2 linked regions of the Arabidopsis thaliana genome follow. The protein of the gene in region 1 interacts with the protein of each later gene in a biochemical or structural test. Each region holds a gene or a part of one and is shown in the gene's direction. Other genes may lie near its edges.

Region 1 (5,598 bases):
TTCTATGAAATCCCAGCTTAATCCATCACATAAACAAACTTCACGACCAAAATTCAAGGTCATAGCAGAAATTTTGAGCTATATTGTGGAGAAATCAACAAACCCTAGCTACAGTGAAGAGAACACGAACATGAACTCAAAACAAAAAAAAAGTATATACCTCAAGAGAAGATAAAAAAAAAGCAACTTTACCAGGAAAATCAAACGAAGTAAAAACCCGTAAGAAGAAGAGATCAAAAAACTTCAAGAAGGACCACATGATCGTAGATCCATGGTGAAGAGCGATCGAGAGAAATCGAGGTTAGGCAGAGAGAGAGAGAGAGAGAAGAGGAAAGTGAAATCCCTAAAAAGGAAAGAGGAAAGTAGAAGAGAGGCAAAATAAAAGGAAGCAAAGCGATTTATAACAGACACTTTATTAAGCACACCCAATTTTACTTAGTTGGCACGTGAGAGAGACTGGTGTGGTTTAATGGCTCGTTCTTCACTATCATATCTGGTTCGGACCAGACAGCTTATGTGGCTCTAGTCAAACCCTTTAAAGTTTGCGTCACGTGAGTTTGTCTGAAACTGCCGGGAACTTGTAATTTACTCTTTCCTCCTTTTTTTCTATTAATTGGTATATTCACCATCTATGTGTATCAATCACTCTTTAAATTCCTTAACTTTTTTTACCAAACACCCAATCTTTTTAACCTGTTGACGAAGCTTTGGCTTCATGCTTAAGGCTATGTTATAATGGGGAAAAAACTAGATTGCACAATCTTTCATAGACTGATATTCTTCATCGGATGTTTCGATCATATAAATTGTCTCCAAGGATGAAACTATGTGTCTAATTTTTTTGAATGCAAAATTTATATATGATTGTTTTCTTAATAAGAGCAACAATGAAAATATAGTTTGGTTATACATTGGTATTTGTCAAAGAGGAAAGACTAAACCAAGAGTAAATAAATCTTACAACTTCCCAAATTGTTGGAATTCTACAATTGTATTATATATGGTGAATGATTTGGTACAAAACATTACAAATATCAAATGAATTTCGAAGTTGGTTCAGGTCACGAATGGCGGATTTGGCTTGGGAGAGACTAGAGGTTGTGATTCGTGGTTTATCTCCTCTCTAAAATCGTTATGTTACAAACTGACTATCAAGGATAATCATATCAATCAAGATAATGAAGAGAATCAATATCGTCAATCACGTTAATTGCTCATAATCATTGTATACAATATTAAGTTTCCTTCAGTAGCTTTCTAGTCTTTGTATATAAACACTCTGTAATCATCTTGTTTCATATATTCGATATACTCTTAGTCTACATGGTATTAGAGTCTCTGTATATAAACACTCTGTAAAATTTCTAAAATCGTTATGTTACAAACTGACAATACATAAACAACACGAATTAACATTTTGGGGTGTTTGCTGAACCGTGGTTGGCGGGTACATCTGCTAAATGAACAAGCTTTTTATATATATATATATATATATAACTGTCAACCCATAATTTAAAGATTCCAACAACAACAAAATAAGTACTACTCCTAATAAGTATTTAAATATGTGACATGATATTCAATTTTTGTGATACAAATTATTATGCATTGGTATTTGTCAAAAACTAATACCAAGAAAACATTTCTTGTAAATGTCATATTCCATTCTTTGATTTGGTCAAAACACCAAAACCATTTACAAAATATCCAGAATTATCTAAAAACGAATGAAAAGCGAAAAATACCAAATGGAAGAAAAATTTGTCCATCTCCTAACAAACAAGATAATATATATGATGATGTTGAAAAGTCAAAAAGAGAAGAAAGAAAAAAAAAACATTTAACGCGCAAAGACCGATTTGGTTTTTGTTGGGAGTCATTGCGTTCTCATCATCAGTGTCTCTCTTTTCTTTGCCCCATTCTTCACGAACTTTCACTAGACGACGACGACGATCCAAAGTCCCAGTCAACTCACTCACAAAGACGACTCCTTTATTAAATTATTCCCAACTCCTTTCTTCATCATCATCATCATCATCATTCATAACCACTTAGCCACAGATGCGATTTTCTTCTCCTTCTTCATTGTGCTCTTCAACACTTATGAACAAGAGCACCACCACCACGACAACGACGACTACAAAGACCAAAGCTTTCGTTTTGTGTTTCTGATTTTGATTCGTAAGTTGTTGTAAATTTTTCTAAGTCAACTTCAATTTTAAAGATCGCTTTAGTCTTTTTGATTCGCTGGCGATAATCCAATTTTCGTTGTTGCTAATAAAGTTTTGATTTTTTTTTATTTGCTTACAGGATTTTGATGCTCATCGAAGAGAACCCTTGATTTTGTTGCTGTAGTTCATAGAGATTTTACACATTTTGTGGAATTTAGTGGATTTATGATGATGGGTAGGTTAGTTTTTGTAATCTGGCTCTATAATTGTCTCTGTTTGCTGCTACTCTCGAGCTTGGTTGACGCGGATCAGGCCAACATAGATTGCTTAAGGACCTTTAAATCTCAAGTAGAGGATCCAAATAGATATTTATCGACTTGGGTTTTTGGCAACGAGACTGCTGGTTATATCTGCAAGTTCAGTGGTGTGACTTGTTGGCATGATGATGAGAATAGGGTTTTGAGTATTAAGCTATCTGGTTATGGTCTTAGAGGAGTGTTTCCTCCTGCGGTTAAGCTATGTGCTGATCTCACTGGTTTAGATCTTTCTAGAAACAACTTCTCTGGACCTTTACCAGCCAACATTAGCACCTTGATTCCACTTGTTACGATTCTAGACCTCTCCTACAATAGCTTCTCTGGTGAAATCCCTATGTTGATCTCCAACATTACCTTTTTGAACACTCTTATGCTTCAGCATAACCAGTTCACGGGTACTCTTCCTCCCCAGCTAGCGCAACTTGGACGGCTCAAAACATTCTCTGTGTCTGACAATCGTCTCGTTGGTCCTATCCCAAATTTCAACCAAACCTTGCAGTTTAAGCAGGAATTGTTTGCTAATAACCTGGATCTGTGTGGTAAGCCTCTAGATGACTGTAAGAGTGCTTCTAGCTCTCGTGGTAAAGTTGTTATTATAGCGGCAGTTGGTGGACTGACTGCAGCAGCATTAGTCGTTGGGGTTGTTTTGTTCTTCTATTTCCGTAAATTGGGTGCTGTTCGGAAGAAGCAGGATGATCCTGAAGGAAACAGATGGGCAAAGAGCTTGAAAGGACAGAAAGGTGTTAAGGTAAAAACATCATTGATTTGAATTTTGCTGTATGTGGTTATGTTCTAAATTTATGATATATGTTTGGTGCTTTTGTGAATGTTCAGGTTTTCATGTTTAAGAAATCGGTTTCAAAGATGAAATTAAGCGATCTTATGAAGGCAACAGAGGAATTCAAGAAAGATAATATCATTGCAACAGGAAGAACAGGAACTATGTACAAAGGTAGGCTTGAAGACGGGTCTCTACTTATGATAAAGAGGTTGCAGGATTCTCAACGCTCTGAGAAAGAGTTTGATGCAGAGATGAAGACTTTGGGCTCTGTTAAAAACAGAAACTTAGTCCCTCTCTTGGGCTATTGTGTTGCCAATAAGGAGAGGCTTCTAATGTATGAGTACATGGCAAACGGTTACCTTTATGATCAGTTACATCCTGCAGATGAAGAATCCTTCAAGCCCTTGGATTGGCCTTCAAGGCTGAAAATCGCGATTGGGACGGCAAAAGGATTGGCATGGCTTCATCATAGCTGCAACCCGAGAATCATCCATCGCAACATAAGCTCGAAATGCATATTGTTGACTGCAGAGTTTGAGCCAAAGATCTCGGATTTCGGTCTAGCTAGGCTGATGAACCCAATTGATACCCATTTAAGCACATTCGTCAATGGAGAATTTGGGGATTTCGGTTATGTTGCTCCCGAGTATTCAAGAACCATGGTTGCAACTCCAAAAGGAGATGTCTACAGCTTCGGTGTTGTGCTTCTAGAGCTAGTAACGGGCCAAAAAGCAACGAGTGTAACAAAAGTATCTGAAGAAAAAGCTGAGGAAGAAAACTTCAAGGGTAACCTCGTGGAATGGATTACAAAGCTATCAAGTGAATCAAAACTGCAGGAAGCAATCGACAGGTCCTTACTTGGGAACGGTGTGGATGATGAAATCTTCAAAGTACTCAAAGTAGCATGCAACTGCGTTCTACCGGAAATAGCAAAGCAGAGGCCAACCATGTTTGAAGTTTATCAGCTTCTAAGAGCCATTGGAGAGAGCTACAACTTCACCGCCGATGATGATATCTTAATCCCATCTGAATCAGGTGAAGGCGATTTCATTGAAGAGCTCATAGTTGCTCGTTGATCAAGAGGAAGGGTAAGAATTGTGAAACAAACATCTCTAGTCGTAGCAGTCCAAAGATATATATAATGTATAAGTATTGTTTTTATTTTATTTTTGGGTTCTCGTCGTCGATGGTGTGTTGTAATATGATATATTGTTAGATGCACTCTCTTATTACTATGTACTAAGCTTTGGGTGTGTGGTACAGTCACTGTTTTGGTTTTGCCACTACGTCTTTGCTGCCTTATATTTTGCAGCACTAATTTGGTTGAGGAGAATACAGTCATCACGTGGGATATCTTTGAAGACTAACTATGTGCTCGATTTGGACCCACTGACTATGGAGATTTCAACGAAACTCTGTCCGAAATTGGACAAACCACAAATATATTGCAATGACGAATGATTGGGTCAAGAATACCAAATTCAAAATAACTAGACTTAGTCAATTCTTGGTTTTCTTTTTTTTTTGCTTAATTCTCGTCGACAATAATAGAAGAATTAACAAGTGTTCTTACATCACCTTTTCACTTCCAATTTTATAGGAATCCATGATTCCATTTCGTTAGCTCCTTGATGTAAAATTTCTATTTAAGGACACCAAAACAAATATACAAAGCAAAGATTAAATTTTCTACAAAAACTTCTTCTTTTAAAGTTTAATTGAGACCGCATTAGGTTTCCATGCAGCTGAATGAAAACATACATGTACCGATTAACCATGAAGTTTCGTGCACTCGGCTTAGTTCTTCTATTAGCAGTGGAGACTTGCAAAGCTGAAGAGATTACGTGCGAAGAGACCAAGCCATTCACATGTAACCAAACTGATCGTTTCAACAGAAAACATTTCGATGATGACTTCATCTTCGGTGTTGCATCTTCTGCTTACCAGGCATGCAACAGATCACATATTCTCCCAATTTTGACGTAAAAAACAATTCACTAACACTAAATTCCAACGTTGCATGGTTGTTTTGTTTCACTTCAGATAGAAGGTGGAAAAGGCCGTGGCCTTAACGTTTGGGATGGCTTCACTCACCGATATCCAGGTTTGTCGTTTGCATGGTTGATATATAAAGGCTTACATATTTATACGAGAGAAGTGTCGGTACGTTATCTCTCTATACATTCATAGTAATGTCTTTGTACGCTACCAGAGAAAGGAGGACCCGATTTAGGGAATGGAGACAGCACTTGTGGATCATATGAGCACTGGCAGGTTAATACGTGTGGAATTACTGAATTTAGTCACTGAATTTTTATCAACTACGTGT
Region 2 (6,397 bases), 5.3 Mb from region 1:
TACGCTCAGCAACCCCATGCTGCCGCAACTGGGTATGCTTTGCAACCACATGCTCAAGCTGTTGAATACACAATGCAACCACATGCTCAAGCTGTTGGCTACATGCCGCAATACCATGCTCACGCTGTTGTATACAGTCAACAAGGTGTGACGCAAGGTTCTGTACCAAGGGCTCCTGGGACAACTGATTGTAATGCTGCAAACCAGGCATATTCTGCAACAGGAGATTGGAATGCAGTGCATCAGTCTTATTACCCTCAGACAGCAGATGCAACCACAACGTATTATCAAACATCTTAAAACGTTAAAGCAAAGTGTTGCTACTCTGGTATGCCAAAGAGGATTCTGTTAAGTCTCGTGTATTTAAAGCATTGTTTCGGTTCAGGTGAGAAACGATTTGCTGAAAACCTATTTGCATTGGTATTGCAGGATCTGAGAAACTTGTGCGTGATGGGTGCGGAAGCATGGACTCGAACTGGTGCACTCAGTGGAAAAGAAGGTCAAGGACATAAAACTAGAGTCTCCAGCTCCGTTTACTGTAAGTTTAAAAGTTCTATGTTACGGTTTGATCATATTCATTTCTGAGCTGCGCATGAGGAAATTCCTCAAACCATCAAAACTTCTTTAAGTCCCGTTTCAGGAGTGCAATCTGAAATGCAATTCTGATTGGGATTTAAAGTTAATAAAACATATTATAACTCTGTTATCATTACTTATGCTAAAACATTTCTTTTAGTATGGTCATGTTTAATACTTGGGATTTGCTATTAAGAATACTACCTTCAAAAAGGTTCATCTTAAACACTCTCTCAAACGAAACCTAGGGACCAAGAATATGCTTATTGGCTCTAAGATTAAGTGGCCTAAACCCTAAGCCATATCTATTGGTAGACAAAAAAGAAAAGAAAAGACTCCTAAGTCTCCCACTATGTATGTTTGAGCACTTGCACTGCAATTCACATGTTCTTTGTTTTTTCTCTTTCTCTTTCAAAAAAACTTTTTATCTATTTCTTTCTTCTCCAATAAAAAAGATTTTAAAAGACACCTATCTCACTCTTTCCACCTACTTTGTTTTGTTTGCTACAGAATTTACTTAAGGCTCTGGTCTTGCCCTCTTGTTTCTTTTTTTTTGGGTCAAGGGTCCCGTATGTTTACAGCTTTGTTGGTTGTGTCACAGATCATCAAAATATTATTGACGAAGGAAAAAATACTGAAATTGGGAAAAACATGATCAGATCCAACTCTCTGAATTGTCTCGAGGTCTTTTTAATTGGAATTGAAAAATGCAAATTTTCCTGATAAATTTGGAGTTAACGTTGGCTTCTTTCAATAGATGTCTATTATATTATCTTTATCCACTTTTTGAAAGTTATAGTCCCCATCTATCATCATTTACTGATATGATCTGTGGGATTTTTTTCTACAAAATTTCTGAGTTGTGTGAACCTTACGATTTGTGTTAAAGATAAACAAAGTATGACCTCCATGGTAATAAACTACTAATTATCTTTGTAAAATGTTCTCACGTGAAACTCTCTCACTATTTCCTATTGCTCACTTTATGTCCCCATAGCAACAACGACTTGTACTCGTCTGAAAATTTCTCAAATTTCATGTAAATAATAATAATAAAAAAATTATTACAATTCTTCGCTAAAAGCATCACAGATCCAGTTGGCAAAAAGAATTATATATATACTATTAGTGCATTGCAAATAAAATTATTAAAGACCAACTGTTTGTCATATAAAATATTATAAAGGATTTCATAGATAATATGTATTTGATATAACAATTATAATCGATAACAATATTCTGATATTGTAAGCTGGAAAGATTATGTCACAGAAGTTAATTGCTCTAATTAAATATGTCTGAGGTTAATCTGATATTGACCAACACGTCGTTTACTACAATAAATACAAAAAAAAAAAAGAGAGCGAATTTCTCAGAAAACAGCTTAACGTTTCTTGGATATTTCGTAAGTCAATATTAATCAAATGAAAACAAACAAAAAAAACCTATATAAGAAGGAGACGCTGTAAAACAGAGCGAGTCAATTAAAAGAAAAGAAAAAGCGCGACTTAGACAAGTGGGTCCCATTTACTGCTCTCCCAGATTATCATTTTCTTCTGAATCTTCTTCTTCTTCCGAAATTCCTCACAAAAAAATGTTTGTCTCTGTTGTTCGATCCAGGTACTTTTGAATCCGCAGTTTTTTTTGTTGGGAAATCAAAAATTATGGGGAATTGTTGCTCCGATGTCGCCTCCGGTGCTGGTGCTACAGCCGGCGTTGGTGGAAGTGGTTCCTCCGCCGCTCTCGGTGCGACTAACGACGCCCTTGATTACTATCTCAAGTCCAAAGGTTTCAACGGACTCTTCTCGCAGATAGAGGTTCCTTCACTATCATCTATCTCTCGTGTTTTTTCTCTACTTCCGCCAAAAAACGTTTAACAATGATATGTGTGTGCTTCGTTTGAAAGAAGAAAACTGCGAAATTCGATTTTCCCTGTATATTCTGAGGATTCATGTTTGATACTGTTTTTTGTTGATGCAGCTATCGTTTTCAGCTTCGAATTTGCGAGACCGCGACGTGCTCTCCAAGGTTACTTTGTTATTCAAAATTGAATTAGTCTTCATAGCTGGTCATTTTAGTTAATGACAAACTTTTTGTTTTTTGTTTTTTTGCAGAGTGATCCTATGGTTGTTGTATATCAAAAAGAAAAAGATGCAACACTTTCAGAAGTTTTCCGCAGTGAAGTTGTTTTGAACTCTTTAGCTCCGAAATGGATTAAGAAATTTATAGTCGCTTATCATTTCGAGACTGTGCAGACATTGGTGTAAGTTTCTTATTATCTTGTGTGACTTGAGGAAAGAGATGAACCTTTACCTGACTCTTTGTGTTGGTTTCTTTATACTCAGGTTTCGTGTGTATGATGTTGACACCAAATTTCAAAATTCAAGAGAGGAGGTAATTGTTTATTTACTGCCTGCATTTTCATTTGATCTGATGTTCACTTTTCTCAATATGTTAATACTTTTCAGATGCTTAAGCTTGACGAACAGCAGTTTCTTGGTGAGGCAACATGTGCATTGTCTGAGGTATCATTTTTGACATTGACAATATATGTGCACTTGTTTTTGCTGGTTCTCTGAGAGGCACATCAGAAATTTTGTTTTATTGCCTAGCTTATAAGAGAGAGAGAGAGAGAATACTTTATATTTAACTTTTCAACCACGCAGATAATCACAAAATCAACTAGGACGAGCACATTAGAACTCAAGCGCAAAGATGGCTTTGCTCCACAGGCTCAGCCTCACCACGGAAAGCTTATCATCCATGCTGAGGAGTCCCTTGCTTCTAAGATTTCAACAGAGATAGTATTTAGATGTTCGAATTTGGAATCTAAGGATCTTTTTTCAAAAAGTGTAAGTTTTGTTGTTTATTCTCTTTACCATTTTAATAAAATTCTAGTTCTGACATCAATATAACACTTTTTTTTTGTTGTGGCTCAACTTTAGGACCCCTTTTTGGTGGTATCAAAGATTGTAGAGCATGGAACTCCAATTCCCGTGTCTAAAACTGAAGTCCGGAAGAATGATCTTAACCCTATTTGGAAGCCAGTCTTTCTTAGTGTTCAACAAGTGGGAAGTAAGGTACGGGAGATTTCGTATATGTGAGCTTCCAGTAATATGTAACTGAATGATTAGAAAGTATGTTTCTCTGTTCGAGATGCAAGTTGATTCATAGAATGTAATAATGCAGGACAGTCCAGTGATAATAGAATGCTCAGACTTTAACTCCAATGGCAAACACAGTCTGATTGGGTAATCAACAGCTTAGAGCTCAGTCCATCTTCTTTTTGGAGTGACTTTAGCTGTTAGCTGACATAATTACTCGTTTATTTTGGGTGGTCAGGAAAGTTCAGAAATCGCTTTCAGACTTAGAAAAACTTCATTTGGCGGGCCAAGGAATCAATTTTTCTTTGCCTACTGGTGCTGGACAAAACAAGGTATAAACCAATACGAAAAGGTCTCCTAACATTTTCATGCCTTTTTCAATAAGCTATCTAATACCATTTATGGTCATTTTAGGTGTTAAAGAGCCAACTTTTTGTGGACAAGTTTACCGAGACTGTCCACCACACATTCCTAGAGTACTTGGCATCTGGATTTGAGTTAAACTTTATGGTAGCAATCGATTTCACAGGTATGTATTGCACCACTGTGGAAAATCCTAAAAACTTTGATTGGGTATGTAATGTTGTTGTTACGTATACATCATGCAAAAAGGATATAATCTAAACATCTCTACATTTCTTTTGTCCTTCAGCTTCAAATGGAAATCCCCGCCTCCCTGATTCTTTGCACTACATTGATCCTTCTGGACGATTAAATGCCTACCAGAGAGTGAGGACTCAGTGTTATTCCATTTTCTTGTAACTAGCATCGACTGTGACTAACAAACCTTCATGATCTCTTCTTTTAACTCAGGCAATAATGGATGTTGGAGAAGTGTTGCAGTTTTATGACTCAGACAAACGTTTCCCTGCCTGGGGATTCGGAGCTCGTCCAATCGACGCTCCAGTTTCACATTGCTTTAATCTAAATGGAAGCAGTTCATACTCTGAGGTAAACAAACTCGACTCGCTGGTCTTTAAGACTAAATTTTGATGTTTTTGGATTGACACATCAAAAGTATCTTTTTTTTTTCTCTCTCTCTCTCTCAGGTGGATGGGATTCAAGGAATCATGACTTCATACACCAGTGCCCTTTTCAACGTCTCTCTTGCAGGGCCTACCCTTTTTGGTCCAGTGATCAACGCTGCTGCAATGATCGCCAGCGCGTCGCTAGCTCAAGGTTCACGGAAATATTACGTCTTACTGATCATAACAGTGAGTATATATATAAAAAGAAAAGCCAAGATCACATAAAATAACAAATCAAACATTGTTTACATAAATCATAAACTCTTGTTTCAGGATGGTGTTATAACTGATCTTCAAGAAACAAAAGACGCATTAGTCAGTGCATCGGATTTGCCCTTATCAATCCTCATTGTAGGAGTTGGAGGAGCTGATTTTAAAGAGATGGAGGTAACAAATAAAAAATAAGACATTTAAGATTTACAACTACATATGATCTTGTGTAAACTGTACTTTTTTTTTGTTTTGGTGGGGGTTTTTAGATACTAGACGCAGATAAAGGAGAAAGATTGGAGAGTTCGAGCGGGCGATTGGCTTCACGAGACATTGTTCAGTTTGTGGCACTACGAGATGTCCAATGTGAGTTTTATTTGATTCTTAGAGTGAAACTTTAGGGAAACGCATGAGAACGCTAGTTCTTGGTTTGGTGAGTTTTAATGTGTTGTGTGTGGGTTTTGTAGATGGAGAGATCTCAGTGGTACAAGCGCTTCTAGCAGAATTGCCTTCGCAGTTTTTGACGTATATGAGAATCCGTAATATGAAACCGATTCCTCCATGAATGATCTCGTCTCGTGTGTAAATGAAGTGTGTACATATTATACATTACATAAACCACTGCGGCGGTTAAAAATCGCTGTCGTTTTGCGCGATTACATAAGCTTTTTCCATTTTTATAATAAAAATGTCTGAATGTGGGATGTAAGTTTCGAATGAAGAGGCTGATGTACACATTTGTCTTGATTTCTTTTACATCAATACTTGGAATTTGAAGATATCTGTTTTGTGCAGCTTAATTTCTTCTATTGATAGAGAATAGTGAACGTCCAACAAAAAAAAAAACATTCAAGTTACAGATGAATATTGTTTTGCATTTTCAACTAATGATTTGACATATGGAGAAAGTGTCCAAAAAGTAAAAGGTAAAGACTGTTATATCAATTATGTAAGAGACTGATAATAACCATAGAATTCCCAAAAACAATTTTTTGTAGATTTTTTTTTTATAGTTGTTATTTTGTTAATTTAATATATTTTTAAACATGTGTATCATATATATCAGAATCATTTCTTAAAAACTAAAACAATGATTTTTTTTTCTTAATGAATATTGCATTATTTGCGGATAATTGAAAATAATAAAATTATGTTATCAAAATGTTGAAAACGTGAACAAATGGCTATTGATCACACTATAAATTTTCCGTCAAATAAATGAATAGTTAGGTATCACATGTGATCTAAGATTTAGATGAGGGTGTCCAAAGTGAAGACCAAATACATTTAACAGTAAAGCTACAGTTTAGAGAAATTTTGATCATAAACATAAATAAACAGCTGGTTAGGGAAGTGGTAGTTGAACCTAACACCAACGCAGTACACACATGATCGATCAAGTTAGTCAAACTGGCTGTGGATTACATTTACAAGTCTTACATTATTATATCCGTACTTGTCACACATTGTACATAATTT

Evidence for each region.
Region 2: the proteins of BIR1 (region 1) and BON1 form a complex in vitro, tested with the Arabidopsis thaliana proteins (one study listed by BioGRID).

What each region holds. Positions count from the first base shown.
Region 1 is NC_003076.8:19,603,331-19,608,928, reverse strand, and holds BIR1 (BAK1-interacting receptor-like kinase 1), read left to right. Parts: upstream 1-1,781; 5' UTR 1,782-2,181; intron 2,182-2,310; 5' UTR 2,311-2,396; coding exon 2,397-3,236; intron 3,237-3,322; coding exon 3,323-4,345; 3' UTR 4,346-4,840; downstream 4,841-5,598. Other genes in the region: TGG3 (thioglucoside glucosidase 3), read left to right, coding at 5,046-5,193, 5,317-5,373, 5,482-5,543.
Region 2 is NC_003076.8:24,854,994-24,861,390, reverse strand, and holds BON1 (Calcium-dependent phospholipid-binding Copine family protein), read left to right. Parts: upstream 1-2,049; 5' UTR 2,050-2,092; intron 2,093-2,118; exon of another isoform or gene 2,119-2,196; coding exon of another isoform or gene 2,197-2,240; coding exon 2,241-2,393; intron 2,394-2,556; coding exon 2,557-2,604; intron 2,605-2,690; coding exon 2,691-2,839; intron 2,840-2,921; coding exon 2,922-2,970; intron 2,971-3,044; coding exon 3,045-3,101; intron 3,102-3,242; coding exon 3,243-3,428; intron 3,429-3,521; coding exon 3,522-3,656; intron 3,657-3,765; coding exon 3,766-3,827; intron 3,828-3,918; coding exon 3,919-4,012; intron 4,013-4,094; coding exon 4,095-4,209; intron 4,210-4,332; coding exon 4,333-4,409; intron 4,410-4,493; coding exon 4,494-4,631; intron 4,632-4,729; coding exon 4,730-4,894; intron 4,895-4,981; coding exon 4,982-5,095; intron 5,096-5,187; coding exon 5,188-5,284; intron 5,285-5,385; coding exon 5,386-5,483; 3' UTR 5,484-5,730; downstream 5,731-6,397. Other genes in the region: AT5G61910 (DCD (Development and Cell Death) domain protein), read left to right, coding at 1-129, 224-328, 430-538, 2,197-2,393, 2,557-2,604, 2,691-2,839, 2,922-2,970, 3,045-3,101 and 11 more. UniProt on the Arabidopsis thaliana protein: Negative regulator of cell death and defense responses. Negative regulator of several R genes, including SNC1. May have effects in promoting growth and development.